Mus musculus: one gene and its partners. Each later gene encodes a partner of the first gene's protein in a complex. Links are inferred from orthologs where the notes say so. Each region holds a gene or a part of one and is shown in the gene's direction. Other genes may lie near its edges.

Evidence for each region.
Region 2: the proteins of Gnao1 (region 1) and Galr1 are in contact, whole or in part, in a cryo-EM structure (PDB 7XJJ), measured with the Homo sapiens proteins. The link is inferred for Mus musculus from reciprocal best matches to the Homo sapiens genes GNAO1 and GALR1. Residues at the interface, in NP_066268.1 of Homo sapiens: Ser264, Asn316, Glu318, Tyr320, Asp337, Asp341, Ile343, Ile344, Ala345, Asn347, Leu348, Arg349, Gly350, Cys351, Gly352, Leu353, Tyr354; in NP_001471.2 of Homo sapiens: Thr70, Arg133, Ala136, Ile137, Ser140, Arg141, His226, Leu227, Leu231, Asn233, Ser235, Lys236, Lys237, Ser238, Ala240, Ser241, Lys244, Thr245, Thr248, Leu306, Ser307, Glu308, Asn309.
Region 3: the proteins of Gnao1 (region 1) and Hrh3 are in contact, whole or in part, in a cryo-EM structure (PDB 8YN7), measured with the Homo sapiens proteins. The link is inferred for Mus musculus from reciprocal best matches to the Homo sapiens genes GNAO1 and HRH3. Residues at the interface, in NP_066268.1 of Homo sapiens: Ile28, Ala31, Lys32, Asp33, Val34, Lys193, Asn194, Leu195, Asn312, Pro315, Asn316, Lys317, Glu318, Ile319, Tyr320, Phe336, Thr340, Asp341, Ile343, Ile344, Ala345, Asn347, Leu348, Arg349, Gly350, Cys351, Gly352, Leu353, Tyr354; in NP_009163.2 of Homo sapiens: Asn69, Asp131, Arg132, Ser135, Val136, Ala139, Val140, Tyr142, Arg143, Ala144, Gly147, Ile221, Ile225, Arg228, Arg232, Thr345, Phe348, Arg349, Arg352, Val356, Leu360, Cys415, His416, His417.
Region 4: the proteins of Gnao1 (region 1) and Chrm2 are in contact, whole or in part, in a cryo-EM structure (PDB 7T8X), measured with the Homo sapiens proteins. The link is inferred for Mus musculus from reciprocal best matches to the Homo sapiens genes GNAO1 and CHRM2. Residues at the interface, in NP_066268.1 of Homo sapiens: Lys24, Ile28, Ala31, Lys32, Leu195, Tyr320, Asp337, Ala338, Thr340, Asp341, Ile343, Ala345, Asn347, Leu348, Gly350, Cys351, Gly352, Leu353, Tyr354; in NP_000730.1 of Homo sapiens: Asn58, Arg121, Cys124, Val125, Pro128, Leu129, Thr130, Pro132, Val133, Lys134, Thr136, Ile209, Ser213, Lys214, Ser215, Arg216, Ile217, Arg381, Lys384, Val385, Thr388, Ile389, Cys443.
Region 5: the proteins of Gnao1 (region 1) and Rgs16 are in contact, whole or in part, in a crystal structure (PDB 3C7K), measured with the Mus musculus proteins. Residues at the interface, in NP_034438.1 of Mus musculus: Glu64, Asp65, Gln68, Ser75, Arg86, Thr117, Val180, Lys181, Thr182, Thr183, Gly184, Ile185, Val186, Gln205, Arg206, Ser207, Glu208, Lys210, Lys211, His214, His236, Glu237, Asp238, Glu239; in NP_035397.2 of Mus musculus: Glu85, Phe86, Ser87, Glu89, Asn90, Glu124, Ala125, Pro126, Glu128, Val129 (codon at 601), Asn130 (codon at 604), Asp132 (codon at 610), His133 (codon at 613), Glu134 (codon at 616), Leu161 (codon at 697), Lys164 (codon at 706), Asp165 (codon at 709), Ser166 (codon at 712), Arg169 (codon at 721), Lys172 (codon at 730).
Region 6: the proteins of Gnao1 (region 1) and C5ar1 are in contact, whole or in part, in a cryo-EM structure (PDB 8JZP), measured with the Homo sapiens proteins. The link is inferred for Mus musculus from reciprocal best matches to the Homo sapiens genes GNAO1 and C5AR1. Residues at the interface, in NP_066268.1 of Homo sapiens: Ala31, Lys32, Lys193, Asn194, Leu195, Glu318, Tyr320, Phe336, Thr340, Asp341, Ile343, Ile344, Ala345, Asn347, Leu348, Arg349, Gly350, Cys351, Gly352, Leu353, Tyr354; in NP_001727.2 of Homo sapiens: Asn71, Phe75, Arg134, Leu137, Val138, Pro141, Ile142, Gln145, Ile225, Thr229, Arg233, Ala234, Thr235, Arg236, Ser237, Lys239, Thr240, Val243, Val244, Ala303, Gln305, Phe307.
Region 7: the proteins of Gnao1 (region 1) and C3ar1 are in contact, whole or in part, in a cryo-EM structure (PDB 8I95), measured with the Homo sapiens proteins. The link is inferred for Mus musculus from reciprocal best matches to the Homo sapiens genes GNAO1 and C3AR1. Residues at the interface, in NP_066268.1 of Homo sapiens: Ile28, Ala31, Lys32, Asp33, Val34, Asn194, Leu195, Ser264, Asn316, Glu318, Tyr320, Asp341, Ile342, Ile343, Ile344, Ala345, Asn347, Leu348, Arg349, Gly350, Cys351, Gly352, Leu353, Tyr354; in NP_001313404.1 of Homo sapiens: Asn57, Asp119, Arg120, Val123, Val124, Pro127, Ile128, Gln131, Asn132, Arg134, Asn135, Tyr356, Ile359, Arg362, Gly366, Arg367, Phe368, Ser371, Lys374, Thr375, Val378, Leu438.

Annotation. Positions count from the first base shown.
Region 1 is NC_000074.6:93,809,204-93,813,942, forward strand, and holds the start of Gnao1 (guanine nucleotide-binding protein G(o) subunit alpha), read left to right. Parts: upstream 1-1,634; 5' UTR 1,635-2,132; coding exon 2,133-2,250; intron 2,251-2,447; coding exon 2,448-2,490; exon of another isoform or gene 2,491-4,352; intron 4,353-4,739. UniProt on the Homo sapiens protein: Guanine nucleotide-binding proteins (G proteins) function as transducers downstream of G protein-coupled receptors (GPCRs) in numerous signaling cascades.
Region 2 is NC_000084.6:82,391,906-82,394,906, reverse strand, and holds the end of Galr1 (galanin receptor type 1), read left to right. Parts: intron 1-896; coding exon 897-1,214; 3' UTR 1,215-2,411; downstream 2,412-3,001. UniProt on the Homo sapiens protein: Receptor for the hormone galanin. The activity of this receptor is mediated by G proteins that inhibit adenylate cyclase activity.
Region 3 is NC_000068.7:180,101,340-180,105,922, reverse strand, and holds the start of Hrh3 (histamine H3 receptor), read left to right. Parts: upstream 1-1,515; 5' UTR 1,516-1,771; coding exon 1,772-2,021; exon of another isoform or gene 2,022-2,209; intron 2,210-3,027; coding exon 3,028-3,194; intron 3,195-4,506; coding exon 4,507-4,583. UniProt on the Homo sapiens protein: The H3 subclass of histamine receptors could mediate the histamine signals in CNS and peripheral nervous system. Signals through the inhibition of adenylate cyclase and displays high constitutive activity (spontaneous activity in the absence of agonist).
Region 4 is NC_000072.6:36,520,417-36,524,526, forward strand, and holds part of Chrm2 (muscarinic acetylcholine receptor M2), read left to right. Parts: intron 1-2,753; 5' UTR 2,754-2,793; coding exon 2,794-4,110. UniProt on the Homo sapiens protein: The muscarinic acetylcholine receptor mediates various cellular responses, including inhibition of adenylate cyclase, breakdown of phosphoinositides and modulation of potassium channels through the action of G proteins.
Region 5 is NC_000067.6:153,743,034-153,746,259, forward strand, and holds the end of Rgs16 (regulator of G-protein signaling 16), read left to right. Parts: intron 1-600; coding exon 601-822; 3' UTR 823-2,435; downstream 2,436-3,226. UniProt on the Homo sapiens protein: Regulates G protein-coupled receptor signaling cascades. Inhibits signal transduction by increasing the GTPase activity of G protein alpha subunits, thereby driving them into their inactive GDP-bound form.
Region 6 is NC_000073.6:16,245,821-16,249,524, reverse strand, and holds the end of C5ar1 (C5a anaphylatoxin chemotactic receptor 1), read left to right. Parts: intron 1-434; coding exon 435-1,487; 3' UTR 1,488-2,780; downstream 2,781-3,704.
Region 7 is NC_000072.6:122,853,024-122,857,608, reverse strand, and holds the start of C3ar1 (C3a anaphylatoxin chemotactic receptor), read left to right. Parts: upstream 1-1,451; 5' UTR 1,452-1,625; intron 1,626-4,585.

The DNA of each region.
Region 1 (4,739 bases):
CCTTTTCCCCCTTGCAAATATATTTTTATGCTGAGTGACATTTCCAAAATAGGATTTTCTCTCCATTGCTGAAATGAAGCAAACAAGTTTACTTTCAGAGTCACAGAAATGCCCAACTGTTACGAAAAAAGAAAGTGTTTTCCACTGGCCCCTTGCCTGTCTTTATCCTGGGCAGTCTTGCCTGTTGGCTCCTCCATCTAGGAAGGCCCCTGGGGCTGACTGGTGGAACTGATTGTAAAACTATTTTGTGCAGTAAGAATTAATGTCTTCAGGCTCTGAGACCACCCAGAACATGACCGATCTTTGGCAACTGTCTACTGTTTTCCCCAGTGCTGGGTTCGCTGTTTGCTGAATAACTGACCCTGGTTTCTGACTATCTGAGAAGATATGAAGGGTGTATTTCTTCTAGTAGTTTGTTATTTTAAGATGAAAGGAAGAAAAAAAATCTCTTATCACAAACCTATGAAGAATTCATTTTTACCGGATTATGTTCTGGGGATACAAGAATTCAAGAACCAAGGGAGGCCATCGATTCATCATATAGAGAAAAATTTAAGGGAACAAGTATTTGCTAGAGGCTTTCATGAAAGACTGTCCCTGGGCCTTTGGCATCAAGCCATCCTAGGATGGTAACCATCTCTAGCGACAGAGGTTGTGGGCATCTCGCGGTAAGGCTCACATTGGCTAAGGGAGGCAAAAACTCCTGCGGAGCAGGCCTTGCCTCTTCTCTGCCTGCTACTTTCCTCTCTACTAGCCCAGTCTCTAGACACTAGATGCTCAATAAATGCGGACCCAAATCCGTCACTGAGCCCCAGCGCGTTATTATGGAGTGAGCGGGTTTATCCTGACCCACTACCTCCTCACATCTGCGGAGGCACCATAGCTCGACTAGGGGCTACACCTCCAGCCGCGAAGGAGAACAATCGGTAAGGCGATCTGCCGGAGACACGACCCAGAGCCCGAGGGACCAGGAAGCTGGAGGCTCAGGCCCAGGGCTGGGGACCACCTGACCGCCGCGCTGGGGTTGACAGGAGGCGGGCCGGGCGCGCGAGACCCGCCGGGGTGGGGCGGGGTGGGGCGCAGGCGCGCGCCCGGCCCCAGGCCCCGCCCTCCCCAGCCCGGCACGCTCCGGGAGCCGCGGGGGGAGGGGGACCCGAGAGTGGGCGGCGCCGCGCGCGCGCGCCCGCTTGTCTGACGCGTCCCGCGGGCATGCGCGCCGCCCCCGCCCGCGCCGTCCCCGGGGCCCCCGGCGCGCGGCCCTGCTGACGTCAGCGGGCGGCTGGCGGAGCGCTGCGCAGGACCAGGCGCACTCGAGAGCTGCGCTCGCCTCGCCCCCCCCCTCCCCGCCCGCCCCGGCGCGCGCGCGCGTGCCCTGCCCTCCCTGCCCGCCTCTTCTCGCGCTCCCCGCTGGCCGCGGCTCCCTCGCGCTCTCCCCGTCTCCTGTCCGCTCCGCCGAGCGATGCGAGTTCTGGGCCCCGGCGACGCCGCCTCCCGCTAGAGAGAGCTGCACCCCCCACCCCCGGCCCGGCCCTCTGCCCAGCCCTGCCCCGCGCGCGGGGGTCGGAGAAGGCGCCGCGGACGCATCGACGGCCGAGGAGCGGCGATGCACATGCACTAGCGGCACCCCCTAACTCACTCCCTCCACACCCCGCGCCACCGCCGCCTCCACCTTCTCCGCCTCCGCCTCCTCCTCCTCCGCCTCCGGCAGCCGCGGCAGAAGGACCCACCCTGCCCCCCACCCCACCCTCCGCCGGCTCCGGCTGCGGATCCAGCCTCGACTCCTATTTTATTTATTTTGGGTCGTGCACTAGCCTCGGTGCCTGCAACCCGCGCCTCCCGGGCCCGCGGGCGCCTCCTCTCTCGGCTCCGGAGCCCCAGACCCCGGCTACCCTCACCTCGACACCCCCAGACCCCAGCCAGCCGCCGCTAATCTTCGCCGCTGGAATCTTAATAGAGGCTGTCCTTTTGGGGGGATTCTGGTCTTTCGACAATTTTGTTCCCAGCCAAGGAGAGGATATCGTGATTTTCTCCCCTTTGAGCCCAGGCTCTGCTCTGTGGGGGGGTGGGGGGCGCGCCGACCCGGGGAGTCGTGCCAGCCTAGTCGTGCGGGCTGTGGCAGGGAAGGGGCCACCATGGGATGTACGCTGAGCGCAGAGGAGAGAGCCGCCCTCGAGCGGAGCAAGGCGATTGAGAAAAACCTCAAAGAAGATGGCATCAGCGCCGCCAAAGACGTGAAATTACTCCTGCTGGGTAAGGACCTGGGTAGCCACCCCCGCCCCTCGACCCCCGCCACAGTTCCCAACCCGACTTGCGCCCTGGGAAATCTGGTCCCTGAGTTGGCAACACCTTGTGCCCAGGAGCGCCCACCCTGTGCATGCCTTGAAGCCCCCTTCCCATTTCCATGAGCTGACACTCACCAGTTTCCCCCCCTCTGTGTGTCCCAACAGGGGCTGGAGAATCAGGAAAAAGCACCATTGTGAAGCAGATGAAGTAAGTCCCTGTGTCATTGGGATTTGTACTTTTATTAAGAATAATTTATATCGTTTTTATTATCTTGCTCACCCATATTTGCTCTCCAGGCCTGGTTTTTAATTCGCGCACACACAGAAGAAACCCGAGGTTGCCTCCCCTCCCCCACTCCCTACGTTGGTTCTGGGTCCCCCACCCCAACTCCTGGGGTCGGTGTTTGCGGGGAGGGAATGAGAGCGCCTCTAGTTGTATGAATGACAGTGTCCGCCATATTGATCAGAACATCACACTATTGGCGTGCTTATGATCATAACTCTTGCTCGTGGAGTATTTCGTGTTTCACTGCCTCCATTTCTGTCTCTGCCTCATCTTCTTTCCCCTCCTCCTCCACCCCACCCCTCGAATCCCACTTCCCCCTGCTTCTCTTGAGGCAGTGATTTTGAACTTGACTAAAACATGGAGGGGACCCAGCCCTAGCAGATTGGGGTGGAGGATCAAGTGTTTGCTGTTCACGAGTTTGGTGCTGAATTCCTGGTGGCTGTGGCTTAGACGACCCCCCCCCCCAAAGCGAGCAAGGGTTAGGGGAGGGGGCGTGCACTGGGGAGAAAGGATGGGTTTCCAAGCGGATGTGACAGACACAGCCTTATCCAAGGCAGAGGTGGGAGGGTCTGTGGGGCTAAAAGCCAGTTTCATCTGCCCTCCAGCCCCTCTCCTCCCTGGCCCTCCAGCCTTTGCTCTTCTGACACCCGCAGGTTCCAGTCACTGTGTAGCCTTTATCGTTGTATTTACACTCTGTATTCTACCTTCAATGCGGATTTCAGGCCCTACTTGCCACCGCCCCCTTTCTGCCTTAGATATCAGTTTCCCCTCCTAATTAACTGGGGGTGGATTTGAGTGATGGTTGAAAATTAAAACAAAATGGGATATTCCTTCCTTTCCACATTTCCCCACTTAGGAGCCTCGCCCGTCCTTCCTCCTCTCTGGCTTGCTTCTTGCCCCATCCACTCCACGGTTCCCGGTGAGCCTCCAGGCAGCTCTGCCTGGGGAGGGGTGGCCGGCAGGGAACGGGTGCGTGCCTTCCGGGCCTCCTGGCCCTGTTTCCGTTGGCCTGTCAGTTCGGGACGGAGGAGTTCGTTAGGACCGTTTAGCGAGGATTCCATGTCGCTTTGCTGTGACACCTTCGTGCACACACAGCTCCTAATTAGAGGTTGCTGTGCTGTAAACAAAAATGATTATTTTTCAACTTGACAGAATAGCCGAAGTAATTGCATCCCGTAGGAAAACAATGGAAAATAAAAGCCCCTTTCGAGGGAAGGTGGGTGGGAGACAAATCGTGCTTGTGGTTTCAAAACCAAGAAGCAAAAATTCTTGCATGTGTAACAGGCATGACAAGCGAGTTCCAGGCGGCGCCATGATGGTAGGGAGCAGCGACTAGGAGACAGTTTCTCCCATCTGCTTGGCATGTTCTTATTTGCGTTCGAGAGCTCCCGGGGGCTTTCTTCTCACAGGCCCCTTCGGCTAGCCTCACCCTTCTGAGCCACCAGTAATTTGGCCTGGGGTTTCTCTGGGGCTTGTGCAGTCCAAATGGATGGGGAGGCGGGGCCTGGGGAATTGCTCTTTGCAACAAGGTGCATGTTGCATCTGCCTGGAGCCCTCGCGTGTCGGGAAATGCAAACCGCGCCACCTCTTTCTCCTTAGGGGCAGGTTTCGAAACTTCACAAGTCTGTAATCCACTGTGGCAGGCCGGGAGTCCGGTAGAAGCCTCGGCCTCCTGAGCCAGGGTGAGGTTTCAGGCGTTGTAAGTGGTGGACAGCGCCCAGCCGAGGCTGGAAAAGTCGATGGGGCTGAGCTTGGCTCGGCGGTGTTCGGCTCCGCTCGGCCTGACCTGGGAGCGGGGCTCGGAGGATCTCGACAGTGTTCGGAGCACAGTCGGGGTCCAAGCGGAGAGGGCCGAGCGGCTTCGGCGGCTTCGGAAAGGCCCCGAAGACATTCGGAAACCCTCGGCAGGAGGAGGGCAAAGGAGGTGGAATTGGGGGTGTGGGAGGGGATGGCAAAGAAACTTTGCATCCACCAAAGCAGCTTGCTACCTGCTCTTCCTGAACATGCCTCATAAATTAGGTTGATTTAATAAGAGGTTTAAAAATACGTATCGAGTCCCCAAAAGGGCAACTTGCCTTTTTTATTCAAAGAAAGCTTAGCTCTCTGAGGAGATCCGTGTGCCACTTTAGAATGGAAATTCCTGATTAAGTCCTGGGGCACGAAATCTTAAA
Region 2 (3,001 bases), on another chromosome or scaffold:
TCACGAGCCAAGGACACTTTCTTCCTGTTGTTTGCTTGGTGAGAATCATTAGGAAACATAGAGACCTGCTTCACGTGTCTGAGTGCCTTTGACTTAGGAAAAGTTAAGCTAGCCATAGGCCTTGTTGGTCTCCATGATGCTCTGGGAATGGCTGTGAGAAGGTTAGCTCCCCAGAGTCTCCACCTTGTCTTCAGTAATGAGAAACCAACCTCTCCCACTTGGGTGCACCCGGGTTTGCCTGAGCTCTGGGCTCCTGATGGAACTTGGTGTGTGCGCACTGGAAGAGGCTTGCTATGCTGGTTGGGTTTTCTTGAGTTGGGAGGTCTTGTGTAAAGGTCACACTGGTCCAGAGCTCTGGCTCCTCCTGCCTCGTCTCTTGGCTGCTGGCAGAATTCTCTCTAGCTTAGGCAACAGTCCTTAGTCTTGATCTGTTTCCCATCTCACACTTACCACAGTCTGCATGCGTTTTACACGTGCCTAGGAATCAGGACTGTGTTAGGTCTCTGCTGGGTCTTGAGATGTTGTGTGAGGTCAAATTTAACACTTTTGTGTGATCTCATGAAAGTACCTGTGAGGGCTGGAGAGATGGCTCAGCGGTTAAGAGCATAGACTGCTCTTCCGAAGGTCGTGAGTTCAGATCCCAGGAACCACATGGTGGCTCACAACCATTCATAATGCCTTTTTCTGGTGTGTCTGAAGACTGTTACAGTGAACTGACATATAATAATAAGTAAATTTTTAAAAAGAAAGTTTTTTAAATAAATAAATAAAAGTTTTTTTAAATAAATAAATGCTACAGAGGTGTATTTTACAGCGCTGTATTCTCCTGATATAACTGGTGTATTCCTGCAGCTCCTGTCCCCTCTCCAACCCTCTTCCATTACTCTCTCTTCCAGACTGCACAGACCGTCCTGGTGGTCGTTGTAGTATTTGGCATATCCTGGCTGCCCCATCATGTCGTCCACCTCTGGGCTGAGTTTGGAGCCTTCCCACTGACGCCAGCTTCCTTCTTCTTCAGAATCACCGCCCATTGCCTGGCATACAGCAACTCCTCAGTGAACCCCATCATATATGCCTTTCTCTCAGAAAACTTCCGGAAGGCGTACAAGCAAGTGTTCAAGTGTCATGTTTGCGATGAATCTCCACGCAGTGAAACTAAGGAAAACAAGAGCCGGATGGACACCCCGCCATCCACCAACTGCACCCACGTGTGAAGGTTTGCGGGAGCCTCCCGACTTCCAGCTCCCATGTGTGTTAGAGAGAGGAGGGCGGAGCGAATTATCAAGTAACATGGCAGCTTATTCTCCACAGCAATTCCTATCGATCCAACTACATTCCACAGTGGTAAAAGGACGTTGATTGTTCAGGGAACTCGTGGGTCTACTGAAGATCATTTTCCAATTTCATTTTACTCTATAATTGTATATATGAGACAAAAGAAACTTCTGTATAGTTTCTAGCTCTCAAGGAATGAAAGTCCTACAGCACTCTGCAAATGTTTTGATCTCCATGGTGTAAAGTAAGTTCTGTAAAGCAGAGAATAATATTTGAAATCCACATTTTCAGGCCAGTTAATATAGGGAAAAAGTTCTTTTTAAAAAAAAATTTGAGAGGAGAGGTAATAGTCTAGTCTGTGCTTTGAAATACAACTGTGGGCACAGAATAGTGATTTTTATTTTATTGAACCTTTGTGGACCGGCACCTCATCTGAGTCGTGGGTGTCCAGAGGTCTGTCTGGGGATGTGAGACCCATCAAGTACATCCTGGGAGATCAGCGTTGACTCTACTACGAAACAATCCTGTGAGCTGGGAGTTTAGGGTGAACTAAGAAACTCCATGGAAGTCTGCCGAGGACTGCTGCAAACCTGTGTGTAGCTTTAAGGATGCTTTTGGCAAATGCGTTAGCTGCGTCTCCAAAGAGGAGAGACGTTTGATTCAGAATGAACGAAGACAAAAGTATCCTGTGGGAGAATAGAGACACACAGAGACATGCTGCCTCATGCAGATTTGTACCAACAAATGTCTAAGGATTGTTTTCCCCAAATATTATTCCATGGAGCAATGTTAATTTAGAATTAAAACCATCACCATGTGACTTACAAATGTAACTTTCACAACAAATTTCATATTTACTTATACTTGCCATAGGAAAATGCTGTGAAATTACTAAATTGTCCTGTCTTAGAAGAATAATGTTTAGGTTTAAGACTTTGATAATATTTTAGGAGGAGGGAAACAAAGCAAGACACTTTAAAAAAATCAAAAAGGGTGTATATCTGTGCCAAATCAGCACCTAATTTAGGTTAAAAAATGTAATGTAGACTTCTGGCTCGTTAACTTTTCTAGCTCATTTATTTTCGTGACTATTCCCCTGTAAATAGTGTTTACATTTGCAATAGTCTCTGGATGGAAAAGGGGGGACTGTTGGAATCACGGGGAATGAAGAGTTCTCAGTGGCTGCTAGGGCGGGATGTGTCTGTTGGTGTTATTGGGTATTTTAAAGAGAATTATAAGCCCTTTGCATGGATTTTTGTTTGTTTGTTTGCACTTTATTCAATATTGGAGCAGAAATACTTTATCTTGAAAAAGGTACCTCACGTGATTAGGGGAACCTAAAGCTGTCCTTGTGGATGTTGGCATATGTCCTTCATTCACACTGTCCACAGAGGCGCTTGGTCAGACCTGCATGTGAGAGAGATATCCTATGCTCTAAGAGTTCCTTGTTCTCTTCTGCTCAGAGACTTTGTAGATGGAAAGCCAACACTGTGGCCCCGAGGCATGGCTTATCTAGAAGGCACGTGTTCATACACCCATAAGGCTGGGTCTTGCCCAGAAAGCGGCATCTAATGTGACAGTGTGTACTTGTGAACCCCAAATTTGCTAAACATCCATTCAAACTGCTCCTGCTCCTGAAAGACGCCTCTGTAAACTGCCATTCTGACCATTTTCTCTTCCCTTGTGCTTGACTGTATTTCTAAAGTGACTTAGAATCCCAACTGTA
Region 3 (4,583 bases), on another chromosome or scaffold:
CACAGTCAGTGTGCTGTGGAGGGGAGCCGAAGGGTTTGCTTGTAAGAGCAGATCAGAGAAGGCTTTCTGGAGACGATACATTGGAATTTACCCCTCCCCCATAGAAGCTTCCAGGGTGCCTTTGGGGGGCTGAGACTATGGGCTTGGGGTAGAGGCTCCTCTTTGCCAGCATCCCCAAGGCTGGAACAGAGAAATGCCAGTCCCCACTGCCCAAAGTTCTCAGAGAACCACTTGGGGTGGGGGAGGGGCAGGTCCTCACATGACCAGCCTCTGGCTGTCAGTGTGGGGTGCTTGAAGCGGTGCCTGGGGTCCCCCTCCCCCACACTCATACCGTCTACATTTCTGTCCACTTTGAGGCATCCACTGATGTGTGCTGTTGGTGACAGAGGACAGTCACTGCTTCCCCTCTCCCTCGGGCACTGTTCTCTGTCTGTCTGCTGTCTGACTATTCGTGGGTCCCAGCCTGATGCTGGGTGGCTGTTTCCCTGAATGTGAATGTCTGTGTGTCAGAGCGTGGGTGTGTCTGTCTGTCTTCAGGGAGCCTCTGCTGCTGACTCTGTCCTTGACCTCCAGTATCTGTGTCAGAGAAGGGGGGCCGGCGGCTTTCCTCCTCCCCCTCCCACAGGCACTAACGCAGCTGCCACCACCCCGGCTGCACCCAGAACTCAGTGACCTCACCTGTCCCCTGCAGCAGTGACCACCCCACTAAGGTATCTCAGGGGGCATTCGTGGCCCGAACCAAGCTGCTTTGTGGGTCGCCCCTCCACCCACTGCCGCTGAGTTCTGGGTGAATGTTCTCAGCTCTGGGCTGGGTCCGCTCAGGCTCGTTCTTCCCTTATGTAACTCCACATCTGTGTGTGCCTTGCAGGTCACCCTGGACCCTGTTCTGAGCTCTGTCTAACCACGTGGAGATTGAGACCCCACAGTTCTGTGCATATGAGGCTGGAGAGAACCCCTGTTCCCGGCATCACTTTCAGGGACCCCTCCCCAATCTTTCTTTGGACATCTCTTACCCCAGAAACCTACTTGCCCAAAGCAAGATGCGAAAGGGAGTCCTGAGGCGCAAGTTCCCTAGAGCTGCGGGGCAGCCATTCTCCACCCCACCCGGGCAGTGTCCTAGGTCCTGACAAGCTTAGGAGCTACGGACAAGGGTCGGGCAGGGGTCACCAGGGGCGAGGGCACGAGGGCGAACGGATAGCCAAGGGACCAGCTTCTAGGTGCGACCTCAGACATGGTCCCAGCCCTGTAGCTGGTTATTGCCCGAGTCGGGCTCTCCGCCAGCCACGGTGCGCACCGGGGCAGGGGTTCTAGTCGGCCGGCGGGCACGCGGCGCTGTCCGTGGTGCTGCCCGCGCCGGGCGGGGCGGAGGCGGGACGGAGGCGGGGCGAGGGCGCCAGCCAATGGCGGGGGCTCTGCGCGGGGCGCGGGGGGCGGCGGGCCGATCGCGGGGCGCACTTGGCTGCGCGCTGAGCTAGGGGTGCACCGACGCGCCGCGGGCGGCTGGAGCTCGGCTTTGCTCTCGCTGCAGCAGCCGCGCAGCCCGCCCCACTCTGCTCAGATTCCGATACCAGCCCCCTCTGCATCACCCTCCCGGACTCCAGACTCGGCTCTCGCTCCGGTCCCGCGGACCATGCTCCGGGCGCCCCCCGGAAAACCGGGCTGGGTGAAGAGCCGGCAAAGATTAGGCTCAAGAGCAGGGGCCCCGCCCGGCCACCCAGCACTCGGCCCCTGCCCTGCCCAGTGTCCCCGAGCCCTGTGAGCCTGCTGGGCCATGGAGCGCGCGCCGCCCGACGGGCTGATGAACGCGTCGGGCGCTCTGGCCGGAGAGGCGGCGGCTGCAGGCGGGGCGCGCGGCTTCTCGGCTGCCTGGACCGCTGTCCTGGCTGCGCTCATGGCGCTGCTCATCGTGGCCACAGTGCTGGGCAACGCGCTGGTCATGCTCGCCTTCGTGGCGGATTCGAGCCTCCGCACCCAGAACAACTTCTTTCTGCTCAACCTCGCCATCTCCGACTTCCTCGTGGGTAAAGCCCCCAGACCCTGTCCGCTGCCAGAGTCCAGGGGCGCGGAGCCCGGGCTGGGCAATGGGGCTTGGCGCTTCGACCTGGGGTGGCTTCTCAGGGGTTCGGCCTTGGGAGAGGAGCTCTAGAAACCTTAGGATGGTGGGCGCGGGAGAAGTTCCTCGCCTCCCGGGCCGCAAGACGGGGGCTAGGTAGGGATGTCCCCGGGGAGGCTGCCCCAGCCGGCGGGCGCTCAGCAAGGCGCAAGGCGCAGCGACCGCCGGTGCAGCGTTGGCTCCTGCGCCGAACCAAACAAAGGCAGCGGCGCCGGACTCAGGATGCTGGGAGGACGCTGGGGGGGAGGGGACATGGAAGGGGGATTTGGGGAGGTGTGCTGGGGAAGGGGACCGTAGGGAAGGCGGGGGGTGAGATGAGGGAAATGCTCCGAGGAGCTCGTTCTCACGTGTCCAAGCTCTGCTCCCAACTGGGGGAGGGGGGGCGGGGCTCGCGGTGGGGGCCGGAGCGCCAGACACCTGTTGGGGCTGCGAGCTGCTGCGTCTCCCAGACGCTGGAAGCCGGTTTGGGCGGTGAGAGCGGCTGGCGCGGCTGCAGCCAAGAACCCTTTAAGCCAAGAGAAAAGCTTTCTCGGTTTTTAAGCTGAGAAGGGAGGCTGTCCAACAGCCAGGGTAGAGATGGATGATCGGCTCCAGAGCCAATCAAGCCAGGGAGGACATATATCCCATTTTCCTCTTTTGGCGGTTGGTGGGGCTGGCAGAAGCCCAGGTTTTGTGTTCAGAGGTCCCTATGTGGAGGTCCTTCCTCCTGCCACCAGGTCCAGAAGACATTGATGGGCTGGAGGATGGCAGCTGCTCAGTTGTAGGGGGACAGGGTGACTAGGAGGATAAATAAGATATAGTACTAGCCCTAGAAAGGTGGCTACCCTATGAAGGCCAGGCTCTGCCCTTTCTCTATGTGGTCAGTCTGACCCCAGCTCTTGAGCCATGGTCCCACCACAGCTGCTTTCCTATAGGTGCCTTCTGCATCCCATTGTATGTACCCTATGTGCTGACCGGCCGTTGGACCTTTGGCCGGGGCCTCTGCAAGCTGTGGCTGGTGGTAGACTACCTACTGTGTGCCTCCTCAGTCTTCAACATCGTGCTGATCAGCTATGACCGATTCCTGTCAGTCACTCGAGCTGTGAGTTCTGGGATGTGGGCATTAGAGTTTACCCTGTGTGTCGGAGAGCACTGGACAGGGTATGGCTGCTCCTGAGTTATAGGCAGATGGTCTTGCTCCCTTTTGACCGGTGGGCCATTTTTCTGTGACCGTTGGCTGCCAGTAGTAGTACTAGCATGAGGCAGGAGGTTGGCTTGGAATTCCATACTATTGCAGAAAGGGGTGTCAGGGTCCATCCTCTATCCTGGACAGGTACAGGATTCCTGGAACTGAAGGAGGGTCTTCATCCTTCCCACTTTTGTGTGCATGAAGGCGTGCTCACATAACACCAGGAAGCCGCAGTCCCTAACTGCACACGCTCCCCTAAATGGCTGTTGTAAGATAGCTCTGGGACCCAGGCAGAGGGAGAGGAGGACACTGGTGTGGAGTGGGGGTCCATCTCCCACTTCCCCAACTCCTCTTCTCAGTGGCTCACTCCCTTCAGGTTTTGTCAGGATGCATCCTGAGGATGCTTGCAAAGAGCACCAGCATGGAGCCCTCTTGAGCTTCCCTAGGTCCCCTGTACCATCCCCTGAACCACAGGGCTATTGTGACTAAGGTGCCCAGTACAGTGCTGGCATGTGGCATGTGTACCCTAGACCTGTGGTTAGCTTGTGTGGTTCCCAAGGTGGCTGTCAAGGACACTTGTCTCAGCTGTCCCTCTGAGGCCCCTTAGCAGGATTTTTGGCCCCTCCTGCCACCCTTCCCCTTGCTTACTCAGCGCACTTGGAGCTTACTTTGTTTCTTGGAAAAAGACTAGATGGTCCCACCTTCCTACCTTTTCTAGCCATTCACCTTCTAGAAAAGAAGACAGACTATTTAATTTTTGTGGGGTGGGGTGGGGTGGGAGGAGTCTCTAGCAGTGGGCCAGCAGGTTTCCCTTCTGTATTCCCAGCTCCAGTAGTGAGAGGAAGGAAATACTGGTGCAGAGTTGGGACAAAGCCCTTCCCTTTCAGCACAGCAAACCGTTGAAGACAGCTCTCTGGCCCTTGCAAGAAGCCTCACATCAGAAACAGTTGTGTGTGGCCTCTGGGTGTGGCCAGTGCTAATGACACAAGCAAAGTCAGGGGGACCCCATGGAGCTGGTGGAGGATGATGAAGAGACAGGATTCTGGTTGGTTGTGGTAGGCTCTGAGGCTCTGGGAGAATGTGTGGGCATCAGGCAGGCAGGGGACACAAGCAGGGGAGAGAAGGAACATGGCACCTTACCCAGAGCAGACACGGAAGCTGAGGCTTCTCTGATCCTCCAGTCCAATGCTGCTGACCTGTTGTTGATCTGTACAAACCACTGCAGGTCTCCTACCGGGCCCAGCAGGGGGACACAAGACGGGCTGTTCGGAAGATGGCACTGGTGTGGGTGCTGGCCTTCCT
Region 4 (4,110 bases), on another chromosome or scaffold:
TTTTAGAAAAATGTTTAGAACTATAAACTCCACATTTTTTCCTGTGTTGGGCTCTACACAGCTTTAATATTGATATCTCCCCCCAGAGATACAGTCCTTGTCCATACGTAATGTGCAAACTTTTGTATTAATCAAGGACCCAACTTGATATCTGAATACCAGGCTTACTCTGACAGGTCACTGGTGTTTGCACATGGTTTCAGCCAAAGGGGGTATTTTTTAGATAAAGGATGGTTATTCATTTGTAACAGAGTCTGCATAGAGTGCCACTGATTTGAATCTTAAGTAATTTTACTCTTTGATTCTGAAGAGTAATTATGCTCAAAATACACTGAATGACCTTGTGATGATTTTTTTATAACACTATTGTTGACAATTTGCTATCATTGATAGTGAGAATTTACTACTTTCACTACTTTATTCATCCCACATCTTCCCACTCATACATAGCTCTGACACACATTGATACATTCTTTTCTGTTAACTATTATGAAAGGTTAAGAGAGGTGATCAATTTACATCTGCTTTGCAGATTTAAATATTAATAGCACATGTTTCATCCGTAGCCTTTATAGACTATCACTCAGGGGCATAATATCACTTCAATCCTTGCTACAACTCTAAAAGAAAAAAAGAGAGAGTTTGAGATAAAGGAAAGTACATTTCATAGAATTTTAGCCACAAACCCAGAACTACGTAGCTAATGCATGGTGTGAGATAGACTCTCAAAGTAGTTTTAATTTGCATTTCTCTGGCTAAGGATGTTCAACACTTTCTTTCCAGATATTTAGTATCCATTTGTATTTCTTCCATGTGAACTATTGATTAGGAGATTTAGGGCCTTGAGTGTTCACATTATGTGTATGTGTGTGTGTGTGTGTGTGTGTGTGTGCGTGTGTGTGAGCTACTAGTCTGTCTAATGCATAGTTGTGGGCCTCAAGTTCTAAAACCCAGTTGAAGCCAGTGCCTCCCCCCTAACTCCACCCTTCCAATCTAGTACATACTTCTTCATAGTACATACTCAAACTTGATGAAGAAAACATAGAACGGTGTATGTTCCTCTCTGCTATGTATACAAAGAAACTAGGTGAAGACAAGTTGTTCTCATGCTTCCAAAATACTCCCAGGACCTTGATTTAAACTAAAGTGTACAATACTACATAACACATTTATCATACGAACATGAGTGCTTTGAAGTTCATCTCCATTGTGAGCATCTTCTTCATTTGTGATCTAATCGTATTTGCTTTAGTGACCCCAGAAAATTGGAGAAAAGAAGTGATGAGAAAGTGGTGGAAGCCAGCTACTATCTCATAAAAGAACAACAGCCCCCACATAATCAGCACATCCTGTTGGAAAAGAGGATGTCCCTGCTTCAAATACTTGTCCTAGCTTCTAAATGGCATGTTTCCCATTGTCACACCAGTACTGTCACAGACTAGCAGGGTATCTCTAAAAATTCCTGAGTTGCAATCGTCACTATAGTTCACATCTCATAGAGTTTTCAGTGTTCAGTCCGGATAAGGATCCCAGATTCAGTAAACTATCTGCCTTGACTGGCAACCTCTCTATATAGGACGTCATTGTGGTGCTCCTCAGGAATCTCTCATTAAGTGCAGCCCCACAAAACAAAAGGGAGGCCAAGGAAGATTATCTTAAAACAAAACAAAACAAAACAAAATAAAACAATAGAAAGGCCTTTGGTAAAGTGCTGATTTTAGCTATAAATTATTACTCACTGTCCTAGCAATAAGTTCCTTAAACTCTTATTATCTCAGCTTTCTTCTTTCTGCAAGGGTAGTGATATAATATATTACAAAGACTTTCTATAGCCCTTAATACTTACTGAGAAAATGTGTATCCAAGAGACCTAAGGCTGCATATTCTTTTATGATTTTTTATTGAAAAATAACTCATAGTATTTGTAAAGAAAAGGAAAGAAAAGAATTGTAGCCTGCCTATCCACTGACTTAAAAGTGATTCTAGATTACTTTCTGCAACTTTTTGGTCTATAGCTTCCTTTTCAGCACAATGAAAGATCTGTCAAAGAATAGTAAAACAATAGATTTAATAATGGCTTGAAACAAAGAAAACATTTAGAAAATTGTTTTCATATAATCATATCAGTCTTACCAATAGTAAATGATAGTTCTTTTATAAGGTATGGAATTTTAGAAATTGTACTGTCAAGAGAAGATGGACTACAATTGTAAAACAAAATTGAGAAAAACAAATTTACTTTGGTTGGGTGCATTGGTTAGTACTTTGTCTTTCTTATCGTTACCTTCATTAATTTTAATAAGGAAAAGGCTCAGTCTGCCATAAAGGTGTTACTGACTATAAAACTCACACATTCAATTTTGTCTTCTGTTTTCATATTTTATTTCTCCCGGATTTATTATTTCTTTCAAATCCAGAAGTTTATAGTTGTTTTTAAAAATTTTAACTATGTACTTGGTTTAGTCATTTCAACTCATAAAGATATGGTGATATAAGCAAGCAGGCAGATACACAGACACTCGTGTCTGTATATGGAGACACTCATTGTGTAATTGAATCATGAATTCATCATCAGCCATTAAGCCATTTCAATCTTCCATCTATAGTCTTTGCCTCTTGGGTGGTCAGATCTGTTACAGTATATATTCAGGACACAGAAAAGGGACTGGGAAGTTTTCCAAAAGGAAGAAAATTTATGTGTTTCAACACAATATTTATATTACATTTGTTAACTTCATTCTATTTCCCTGCAGGTTTAAATGTTTCTTTGGCCACTTGACTACTGAACACAAAATGAATAACTCAACTAACTCCTCGAACAATGGTTTGGCTATTACCAGTCCTTACAAGACATTTGAAGTGGTATTTATTGTCCTTGTGGCTGGATCCCTCAGTCTGGTGACCATCATTGGGAACATTCTAGTCATGGTTTCCATTAAAGTCAACCGCCACCTTCAGACTGTCAACAATTACTTCTTGTTCAGCCTGGCCTGTGCTGACCTCATCATAGGTGTTTTCTCCATGAACTTGTATACCCTCTACACTGTGATTGGCTACTGGCCTTTGGGACCTGTAGTGTGCGACCTTTGGCTAGCCTTGGACTATGTTGTCAGCAATGCCTCCGTTATGAATCTTCTCATCATCAGCTTTGATAGATACTTCTGTGTCACAAAACCTCTAACCTACCCAGTTAAGCGGACCACAAAAATGGCAGGCATGATGATTGCAGCTGCGTGGGTTCTTTCCTTCATCCTCTGGGCCCCAGCCATTCTCTTCTGGCAGTTCATCGTAGGGGTAAGGACTGTGGAAGACGGGGAGTGCTACATTCAGTTCTTTTCCAACGCTGCCGTCACCTTTGGCACTGCCATTGCGGCTTTCTATCTGCCTGTCATCATCATGACTGTGCTCTATTGGCACATATCCCGGGCGAGCAAGAGCAGAATAAAGAAAGAAAAGAAGGAACCAGTGGCCAACCAAGACCCGGTGTCTCCGAGTCTAGTGCAAGGAAGAATTGTAAAGCCAAACAACAACAACATGCCTGGTGGTGATGGTGGCCTGGAGCACAACAAGATCCAGAATGGCAAGGCTCCGCGGGACGGTGGGACTGAAAACTGCGTTCAGGGGGAGGAGAAAGAAAGCTCCAACGACTCCACGTCTGTCAGTGCCGTGGCCTCCAACATGAGAGATGATGAGATAACCCAGGATGAAAACACGGTTTCCACTTCCCTGGGCCACTCCAAAGATGACAACTCTAGGCAGACATGCATCAAAATTGTCACCAAGACCCAAAAGGGTGACGCATGCACACCAACAAGTACCACAGTAGAACTAGTGGGATCGTCAGGTCAGAATGGTGATGAAAAGCAGAACATTGTAGCCCGCAAAATTGTGAAGATGACCAAGCAGCCTGCCAAAAAGAAGCCTCCTCCATCCCGGGAAAAGAAAGTGACCAGGACAATCTTGGCTATCCTGTTGGCTTTCATCATCACGTGGGCGCCATACAATGTCATGGTGCTCATCAATACCTTCTGTGCACCCTGCATCCCCAATACAGTGTGGACAATTGGCTACTGGCTCTGTTACATTAATAGCACCATCAACCCTGCCTGC
Region 5 (3,226 bases), on another chromosome or scaffold:
TTAGCAGCTGTGAGGACAGACAGACAGTGGGAGTGAGGGGAGGCAGGAGCCGAATTACTACACAGGTCCAGCGCAGAGGTGGTGACTGGAACCAGCAGAGGAGTAGCATTCATAAAAGGCCTCATGTTAGTCTTGAGAGATCAGAGGACCAACCCCTGGGTCTGAAGTGGGAACTGTCCTAGACCCGAAAAGCTGGTGAGTGGGGCTGAAGAGATGGCTCAGTGGTTAAGAGCACTTGCTGTAGAGGACATAGGTCACCCCACACTATACATCCAGAACTCCTATATTTTATCACCAGCATGGCAGCTCACAACCTCCTTTAACTCCATTTCTGGGGATCCTTCAGGCCTCTAGAGGCTCCTATGTACATGCGGTGCACACACTTATGCAGGCACATATACATACAGATCACATATACTCATATACACATATATACATGCATATGTATATATGTATATGAAAGGAGTCACTTTATTTACTGTCTGGTACTCTTTCAGTGACATCACTTGCTCACCAAACTCCCCCCCCCTCCGCCCTGCCCTGCCCGGCCACCCCACTCCACACCACTCACCTTTGTGGTTTGCCCTGCTTCCCCCACAGGTGAACATAGATCACGAGACCCGAGAACTGACCAAGACAAACCTACAAGCTGCCACTACCAGTTGCTTCGATGTGGCTCAGGGGAAGACCCGCACATTGATGGAGAAGGACTCCTATCCGCGCTTCCTCAAGTCACCAGCTTATCGCGACCTGGCTGCCCAAGCCTCGGCCACTTCCACCTCTGCACCCAGCGGCAGCCCAGCTGAGCCTTCACACACTTGAGCCTCCGCAGCAACCTAGAAGCCATCGGGAAGAGAGGTGGAGTCGCCCGTCCCTAAAGCAGCTGCCCTGTGTGGGAGGCAGATCCTGTGCAGCAAGTGCAAGAGGATAGTGGAAGGACAGACGGACATCCATCCCCGCAGCTTGAGTGCGAAGAACCCCCTCTCCTCCAGATACTGTGGTGGGCCAGTGTAGGAGAGACTCCTCATTTCCAGGACCTGTGACTGAGGGCTGACGACAAGGCTGCGCCGGGTGCTCTGGGGGGAAGGGTGGCCCAGAACTTATACTTTTTACCAGGGCACACACAAAGGGATGCTGGGTGGTTGGGAACCATGAGAACAGGAGCCAGAGAGCAGTTATTTAAGGGCCAGACAGTCGGCTTTGGTCCCCGTCTTGATTTCCTCACTCCTGGACTGGGCCTAGAAAAGGCTGTGTGTGTGGAACCTTCATTTCCTGCCCCTTGCCTTCCCAGGGACACCCAGGGCCCCCGAGCTGAGGCTTCTTAATATTCCTGTGCTCATTCTTGCCGTCTCACAGAGGTCAATGAGTCTGTCTGATTCTTGGCCCAGATGAGATTTCTATACCTCAAAAAACCGGCCTGTGAGCCCCTTTCCGGGTCAATGATGAATCCTGCAAAAGAAGCCATTCTGCTCATGGGACCCTAAGCTGGGTGCTCTCCATGGCCGTCTTGTAGGTGGCCCCCTGCCTTCACCTTTGCAGCAGGGTCTGCTTGTGAACAGGGCTAACTGAGAAGTCTTACTGGGCCCTGCGCTCCTTGGAAGATGGGGTCTAAGGAGGGAGGTGGGAGGAAGGAGACTTCCGGCACAGGGGCCAGCACTCATGTCCAGCAGGTGAGCTAAGGGAGAGAAGTCATTGAAAAATCCATCTAGGAGCCCAAAAGACTAGCTGAAGTCAAACCAGTTCTCTTTGTGGGTATGAAAATGGGGAAAAGTGTCTCCTACCCCTCACCCTGGTGGAAGGGGAGCCTTGTGCTTCTTTCCTGTTGACATGAGATGCCCACTGTAGTTAGGGGAGAAGCCCGTCAAGGACCAAGAAAGCTCTGGAACAGAAGTTAGCTCAGCCAAGGGAGTATTGCAGATGTGCGGGGAGGGCTGCCTGGAAGGATGGGGCCGGGGGAAACCAACTTGCCTGCCTATCACTTCTGAGTCTTACCGAACAAACTTTCCAAGTTGGGACTTCCAGCACCAGCCACCGAGACGGAGACCTAGGTTGTTTCCCTCTGCACTTGAGGTTTCTCCGGGAGAGAACTCTTTTAAGTATAATATTGTGTTCTGTTGTGTTGTGCCGATTGTCTCGCTGCTATTGTTATTTATTGTGGTTTGTTTGCCTGTACTGAAGAGCCTCAGCTGGAGCTGCTGCCTGATCACGCCTCCTCCCTACCAGACTCTACCTCTGCAAGCCTTGGGAATCACTGAGGGCTGGGGGGGGGGGGGAACGGGACACGGGACTCCCCACTGTGTTAATATTTATTTATTGTTAACAAAGGGAGCTGGGTTCCTTTATCAGCAGTGTATGTGATCACTGTTTTTCTGTTTGAGCATGTTATATTCTTGTAAAAAAACCTGAAAATAAAACTCAAAAATAATATCCCAATATTTCCCAGGACAGTATGGATGATATGAGGGTCCAGGGGAGTATGGAGGGCCTGTGGTATCACAGCTCTGGTGATTCTGTGGGATGGGGATACAGGACGGGGTGGGTGGCTGAAGGCACGAAAGGGTTGAGCTGGGTTTGAAAGGCTTTTGCAGGGTAGTCCACAAGGAGCCGGGCTTCTCCTCTGCCTGGTGCCTTCTGGGTCACATCAGTCCTGAAATCCTGCTCTTTGAGATTTCACTGCCTGAAAAGAGCCTGGCCCAGGCACATAGTAGTGAATGCCTGCAAGCCCTAGCTTTTAGGAGTTTGAGAATGGCCTTAGATTACATACTGAGATCTTGATTCAAAAGAAAAAAAAATTTAGCCAGGCGGTGGTGGCACACACCTTTAATCCCAGCACTCGGGAGGCAGAGGCAGGTGGATTTCTGAGTTTGAGGCCAGCCTGGTCTACAGAGTGAGTTCCAGGACAGCCAGGGATACACAGAGAAACCCTGTCTCAAAAAACCAACCAACCAACCAAACAAACAAAAACAACAACAAAAAAAGAAATTATGTGGTGTTATAGATATCTGCTTATACACAGATCTGACATGCTGTTGGGTTTCAGTTCTCCCCCAAGTCCTCTGTGTGATCAGAGTTCAAGTACTTGGTTGTAGAGACCCCTTAGAATTGCACCCTACACCTAGATCCAGGGTTCTCAGGTGATAGCAGGAGGGGTTCAGACACTGAGGGCTTAAGCAAAAATATGGGAACAAACAGGCAGGCTCTAACCTCATACCATCCAGACAACAGC
Region 6 (3,704 bases), on another chromosome or scaffold:
CTCGTTACGGATGGTTGTGAGCCACCATGTGGTTGCTGGGATTTAAACTCCTGACCTTCGGAAGAGCAGTCGGTTGCTCTTACCCACTGAGCCATCTCACCAGCCCCGAGATTTTTTCTCATCACCTCCCTACCCCAATCCATATACTTGATTAAAGCCCAGGTCTGGAGAGCCATGCCTGTAGTCTCAGCATTGGGCAGCTGAAGTAGATGGACCACCATGATTTCAGTTTATCCTGGGCTTCAGAGTGAGTTTAAGACCAGTCTGGGTAATTTAACAGAGAACCTGTCTCAAAATAAAATCTACAAACTATACTAGTTTTATAGGTGTTCAGCATCCCTTGGTAGAGTTGAGACTCAGAAAGACGGGCAATGCCTCCATCCCCTGGGAATGTGTCTACCAACTCACACAATCTACCTGTTTGATTTGCTTAGGACCCCATAGATAACAGCAGCTTTGAAATCAACTATGATCACTATGGAACCATGGATCCTAACATACCTGCGGATGGCATTCACCTCCCGAAGCGGCAACCTGGGGATGTTGCAGCCCTTATCATCTACTCGGTGGTGTTCCTGGTGGGAGTACCTGGGAATGCCCTGGTGGTGTGGGTGACAGCCTTCGAGGCCAGACGGGCCGTCAACGCCATCTGGTTTCTGAATCTGGCGGTGGCCGACCTCCTCTCGTGCTTGGCACTGCCTGTCCTGTTCACGACCGTTTTAAATCATAACTACTGGTACTTTGATGCCACCGCCTGTATAGTCCTGCCCTCGCTCATCCTGCTCAACATGTACGCCAGTATCCTGCTGCTGGCTACCATTAGTGCCGACCGTTTCCTGCTGGTGTTCAAGCCCATCTGGTGTCAGAAGGTCCGCGGGACTGGCCTGGCATGGATGGCCTGTGGAGTGGCCTGGGTCTTAGCATTGCTCCTCACCATTCCATCCTTCGTGTACCGGGAGGCATATAAGGACTTCTACTCAGAGCACACTGTATGTGGTATTAACTATGGTGGGGGTAGCTTCCCCAAAGAGAAGGCTGTGGCCATCCTGCGGCTGATGGTGGGTTTTGTGTTGCCTCTGCTCACTCTAAACATCTGCTACACCTTCCTCCTGCTCCGGACCTGGAGTCGCAAGGCCACGCGCTCCACCAAGACGCTCAAAGTGGTGATGGCTGTGGTCATCTGTTTCTTTATCTTCTGGCTGCCCTATCAGGTGACCGGGGTGATGATAGCGTGGCTGCCCCCGTCCTCGCCCACCTTGAAGAGGGTGGAGAAGCTGAACTCCCTGTGCGTGTCCCTGGCCTACATCAACTGCTGTGTTAACCCTATCATCTACGTCATGGCTGGCCAGGGTTTCCATGGACGACTCCTAAGGTCTCTCCCCAGCATCATACGAAACGCTCTCTCTGAGGATTCAGTGGGCAGGGATAGCAAGACTTTCACTCCGTCCACGACGGACACCTCAACCCGGAAGAGTCAGGCGGTGTAGAGGAGAAGCCACAACTGGCCTAGCTGCTCCTTTTCCAGCCCTCCTACCCCCTCCTCTTCTTCCTCCTCCTGCCTCTCCTCCTTCCTTCCTTCCTTCTCTTTGCATGTTTAATTTTCTGCAATTCTCTAAGTTGCTCTGACTAGCCTTGAGCCCAGGATCCTCATGAAGGCTGAGATTATAAATATAAATTCCTTTGATGAAAAGCATCACATTAAGATAGTACTCGGCTTTTTTTCTAAGGCTTTTTTTTTTTTTCTTGGCTACGTTGCCCACCTGCAGTGGCTAGGCAGATACACCTAATGATGACCTCCAGGGGTTGGATAACAGAGAACAAGAGAATTTCCTGGCCTTCTTCTTCCTCTCTTCCTCTTCTTTTTCCCTCCTCCTCCTTCTTCTCCTCCTCCTCCCTTTTTTTTTTTATGGTTCTGGTCTGAACCCAGGTCTCAATGGAACCCAGGGCTTATGGATATATCACATAAGCAAGCTACAGCCCCAAACCCCAGGCAACCAGTATCCACCCACCCTTTATTTCTTTTCTATGTTTGATTTTTTTTTTTTTTGAGACAAGGTCTCATGTAGGGTAGTCTGGCCTTGAACTCCAGATCCTCCTGTGACCATCTCCCAAGTGTCGTGACTGTAGACCTGTGCTGTTGTGTCCGACCTATCCTTTATTTCTACAATTTTGTGTTTTCAGGAATGGTATTTAATGGAACCCAACATATCCAAGCTTTGTAAAAACAACTATGCATGGCTTACTTGATAAATTTTTTTTTTTTAAAAAGGTACAGAAATGTGTTGTTTAACTTTTTAAAAGCACGTATTTATTTATTTTGTGGGGGGTGAGGGGGTGGTGCTGGGCAAATGTCATGGTATATGTGTGGAGGTCAGAGGACAACCTGTTGAAATTGGTTCTCTCATTGCAACCATGAAGGTCCTCATGGAATCGAACCCAGGTCATCATACTTGGCAGCAAACACCTTTACCTGCTGAGTCACATCACTGGCCAGAGGTGTCCTGTCTTATAATGCGTTCTTTCAGCTTAATGAATGTGTGTGCATGAGTGTATGTGTTGGCTAGAAAATATGTACAGATCAACACCAGAAGTATCATGCAAGCATGGGAATGGTTTTGAATTTCCTGGTCAAATTAAAAATGTGAAAGAAGACCTGGGTGTGGTGGCGCAAACCTATATCCCAGCATGTGGGAGGTTCAGGGGCCAGAATTGAGTTTTAGAACCCAGCCTGGCTTACCCAGGGAGACTGTCTCATGAGATCCAAATAAACAGTATATGATGGAAAACACTGGAGTTTAGCTCTGCTAGGCCCTCTCTTCTTCCCAGTGGATATGTGACCACTGGTTGTCACATATCACAGACCCAGCCTACCTGTGTTCTGCTATTCACACTTTCTATATGATGACACTAACCTCACTGAATTTTTACAGGCTCCATGCCTTGGCATTTATTATTTATGTATTTATTTATTTTGAGACAGGATCTCTTTACATAGCCCTAGCTGTCCTGGAACTCACTATGTGAACCAGGCTGGCCTAGAACTCACAGAGATGGGCCTGCCTCCATCTCCTGAGTGCTAGGATTAAAGACATGAGCCACCACATCCAGCTTTATTCTATGTTTTGTATGGCCTCTATGAGTTTGAAACATTTAATCAATTAGTTAGTTAATTAATTAATATATGAGATGGGATCTCATGTAGCCCAGGCTAGCCTTAAGCTGGTTTTACAGCTGAGGTGGGATTATAGGTAGTCCTCCTGACTCCCAGTTGTCTCCCTCTTGTGGCTTTTCTCATTATCGGTCACATCTGTATTGCCACAGCTGAGCTTCTCACCCACTGACCCATGCCCCAGCTGTCCCAAGAACCTCTTCCTCCCCTTGCTTTTCCATTCCAGGAAAAACCACACTGGCAACCTGCTCACCCAGGCCCTTTCAGCTGCCCCATCACAGACCCAGCCCTCCCTTCTTACCACACACCCGGCTCTACATCCTGCCCCCCCCCCCCGCACCCCCCCCCGCCTCCTTCATGCCTCTCCCTTCCCTTGATCTCCTGGTTGCCCAGCACCTCTTCCAAGGACCATCCTGCTCCCATCCTGTCTTCTTGCCAGGTGTCCCCTCCTTAAGGGAGTCCCCTGTGACAGCCCTCAGTTTCCCATAAGCACCCTACCATCAATCTTTTTCTCTGGCTGCGATTGAGCTTCCTG
Region 7 (4,585 bases), on another chromosome or scaffold:
GTCTTGCTAAACTAAACATGTGAGAAAATGTTTTCCTGAAGCAGACGACGGTGAAAGGAAGTTTTGATATAGCAGACACGTGAAAGGACACTTGAGGAAAGAATGTAAATATGACTCCACAGACAGTGGGGCATGAGCACTGAGCCTTGGTTTGGTTTGCTCTGTCTCCCCATTCTTCATTCACCTTATATAGCGTGGTTGAGCTCAACTCGTGGTAATGCAGCCATTGAGAGAAACTCACCCAAGGACTTCGGTTCCTGCAGCTGCTTGCCACTTTAGCAGCCTTGCCTCAGACCAGTTGGCATTCATGCCCGGTGTCTGCTGGTGGAGAGGACTGGATTGAAGCTGCTAGCTCATGTGTGGCATCTGCCTGCCTATAGGACTGGTCTACAACTGCTGAGTTGTATTTGGTGTTTGCTATGGGACTGAACTGCTGAGAAAGAAGACGGGGATTGCGCCCACCCCCCCCCAAAGAACTATTGCTGAACAGGCCCACTTCCACCATATTCTAATAACTTTTCTTCCACTCTCTCTGCTGGGTGGTAGGTTAGAGAAGAGAATGAACCTTATAATTAAAAGTAGGTTGCAAAAAATTTATGCTACACCTCCCAACTCAGCCATCTTTTTGTTGTTGTTCTTAAATGTGTTATTTGTTCTTTAACAAGTACATATGCATTCAACCTAACTTGATCATAGCCATCTCCCGTCGTCACACACACACACACACAGTTTTTTCCTGACCTGGGGATTAACCACAAGACCTAGGACATAGCAGACAAGTGCTCACCCACAATCTATATCCCTAGATCTTTTATTACTTTTTTGTCTTGAGATAAGGTCTTGCTAACTTTCTCAAGTTGGTCTTAAAATCACTCTGTAGAGGCTGGAAAAATGGCTTAATAGTTGAGTTCCCAGCACCAAATGAGTGACTGGCAAATCTATAACTTCAATTCCAGGGACCCCCCCCCCCATGCCCTTTTCTGGCCTCCATAGGTAGCAGGCACAAATATATGTACACACAAATGGGGGGGGGGGGAAGAACTCCTACACATAAAAGAAAATCAATAGATCTTTTAAATACCCCATTCTATGGGACTGGAGAGATGGCTCGGAGGTTAAAAACAGATCCCAGCACCCACATTAGGTTCCAGTTCCAAGAAATCTAGCATCCTTTCTTGGCCTCTGTGAGCAACCATATATGGCACACACATACTGATATAAAGATAAAATAAAGCAAATTTAAAGGGAAAAAAATAAAACCTCACTCTGTAGCACAGACAAGCCTCAAATTTCTGCCTGCCTGCATCTCAGCATCTCGTAGCTAAGGTGACAGGTTCCTGCAGGAAATATCTGTGTCCTGATCGGCCTCCTCCACCCGCCCTCCTCTGTCCTTCTGCTTTTCTTATCTACGCCGGCTAAGTTTAAGAGGTGACTCATGGAAAGGCCCTTCCTGTGCAGTCAGATAGCAGTCATGATCCTGAGTTCCCTTTACCCAGGGAAAAGTCAGTGCTCAGCAACTCGTCCAATGCACTTCACTACTTCATTTTGGCTGGACCAGACAGGATTTGTTGGTGGCTCGCAGATCATCAGTCCTGGAGCCTTTGGATTCCATCTCAGTGTGCTTGGTAAGAAAACATAGATGAGCCTTATAGTTCATGCTTGGTTTAGCCTGCTGATTATGTACAATGGCTTCAAGTTCCTTATCTTCTGTTTCCTTCTATTCTTTTCCCTAAAACTTTTTTTTTTTTTTTTTGAGAGTCTTACATAGAGCCTTGGATGGTTGGGAACTCACTACATAGACTGGGCTAGCCTTAAACTCACAGAGCTATATCTCCTTCTCCTGCGATTAAAGTTGTACACAATCATATCTGGTTCTTTCCCTAACTTTTGTTTTGTTTTGTTTTGTTTTGTTTTGTTTTGTTTTGTTTTGTTTTGTTTTGTTTTTGTTTTTCGAGACAGGGTTTCTCTGTGTAGCCCTGACTATCCTGGAACTCACTTTGTAGACCAGGCTGGCCTTGAACTCAGAAATCCGCCTGTCTCTGCCTCCCAACTTTCCCAAATTTTTATTTCTCCTGTCTTATCTCCATGTCTACTTTTATTTTTATGTAAATACTATACATTCTATTTATCTTGGCTTTTAATATTTTCATTCTGAAAATAATAATGAATTTATGTTATTTATTCCCCTAGATTATAGATCATGTTTTCTTCCCTTAGTTTTGCTTCTGTAATCATTGATCACATGTACACACATTTATTTTTATGTATATATACACACACACACACACACACACACACACATATATATATGCCCATATGTGGATTCTTCTTCTGTTGCTCTCTGTAACTCTCCCGTTCTTTGAGCTATTCCTTATCAAAATAGCTGGTTCTATCATTCCATAATTATTATTTGATATTTAAATCTAATTTTTACTCATCATAAATACATTTTAGTTTCAGGTTTTTTTTTAATTACTCTGGCCAACTCAATCCTGAAATCTTTATAAAAAACTTAAACATAGAGGGTTTTTGTTTGGTTTGGTTTTGGGGGGGGGTTGCTCAGAACTTGGGGAAATGTAATGTGGTCTTGTCCTGGATGACTTTTAGGGTGTGAGCTTTCAAGGAAGATCATTTGTGATATTTAAACTATTCCTCACAGCACGGAACTCAGTTGCTCTTACATTGGAATGTTTTCCTTTCAACTTCTGTTATTTTAAATCGCTATGTCCACTTTATTATCGAGACCACAGTTTCTCAGTCATGTGATCCCTGCAGTAAAAAAGAACAGTAACCTAGGCGTTATTAGGTGAGTAGCTGGGGCTCTCCCCGGCTGCGGTCACGTGAAAGCCACGTCATCTCCAGAATCTCAGCATCAAAAGCTGCACAGCGAGGGATGTCTGTGGGTTGCTCTGTTCCTAGCAGTCTCTGGGTGGGCTTTGCTCTCAGCATCTTAGGATGGTACGCATTGAGGTTGGAATGGGACACTAGATCCGAGTTCTTGCCGTTCACATAAGGGAATGGTAGGACTTGAAAAAGACAGAGACCAGAGTGGGTATCGTTTCTCCTTTTCTTCTTATTCTGTTGTTATCCTAACTTCTGCTTACCGCATAAGACTTGTCACAAACTTTTGTCAAGTTCAGCAGAATCGCTTCCAAATGTCCCAGCTTCCATTTAAAAACAAGCAAACCAAAAAATCAAATCAAATCAAATAAATAAAAATGGAGGAGGCTGAAGAGATGATCGGTGGTTGGGAGCAGTGGCTGCGCTTCCAGAACCCTGCTCTACCAGGGTTCAAGTCCCAGCACCTACATGGCAGCTCACAACTGTCTGTAACTCCAGTTCCAGGAAATCTGACACCATCCCACAGACACGCATGCAAGCAAAACAGCAACACACATAAAATGAAAATTAATCATTTTTAAAGATATAAACTGTTACTACATCCAGTAATGTTTGGGAATTTAAAATCAAGAGAGAAATTTAGAAGAGACAGCATAGGAATTAAGAAGCCATATGGGAAAAAAATAAAATGGCTAAAGACTAATATTTTTAATGTAATTGAAAATGAAAAAATTAAACCCGAAAGGTAAGCATCCCCCTGGCCGTGGGGGTACATGCGTTGTAATCCCAACATTTGGTAGACTGAGGCAGAAGATCTCCAGTTTGAGGCCAGCCTGGTCTATATAATCTAACTTCATCTCAGAAAAAAACAAAAGAAAAAAAAAGTGACCCTTGATCCATATGCTAAATGATATGGAAGAGGCATTTGTAAACAGGTCTTGTCTTTACCATCACACAGTTTAGGGCCACTATAAAAATTACAACCTAAGATTACATGTGCCTCCTCATAGGACATGTCAGAAAAAAATCAACCACACACTTCTACATTCATGTACATGAGTCAGCACACACATGTACAAGTGAGAGACCAAAGAATCAGTTTCTTCGAGGATTATAAGAGACTGTTTTAGATATAGTGCATTGAGGTTAACCTTGAGGAGTAAGTATTTTAATGGGTAGAATTTTAGTGTAGGGCATGGAAGAAGCCATTCTAGGGGCGTATTTCTAAGTGGAAACCATTAGCCCTGCTTAGGAATATAAAGCAGCATTGATCTGAAGGGATGAGACGTGGGCAGAAAGGATGCATTTGTCCGAGTGCTCAGAACTAGGGAAGGATCTCACCGACCAGGAGGGCAGACTGCAGAGAACTTCACTGTAGAAGATAGAGAAGTCCGTCTGGCTTTGGGTTCTAGATGCAATTTTAGCAGAATAATAAGAGCAGAAGACGAAATAACCCCAAACCATGAAGGAGAGAATTAAGAATGATTGTTCAAGATGGGCTTGGTGACACACACCTTTAAGCCCCTCTCTCAGGCGGCAGAGGCAAGAGTTTGAGGCCAGCCTGGTCTACAGAGGGAATTTCAGGAAAGTCAGGGCTACACAGAGAAACCCTGCCTCAAACAAACAAACTAAAAAGAATGACTGTTCAGAGCAATAAGCGCCCAAAGTTGGAAAAAAAATTGGATGAAAACTTGGTATTCCTTACATTGAATCTTCCTTAAGTTAAAAGTTAAAAGTGGGGACT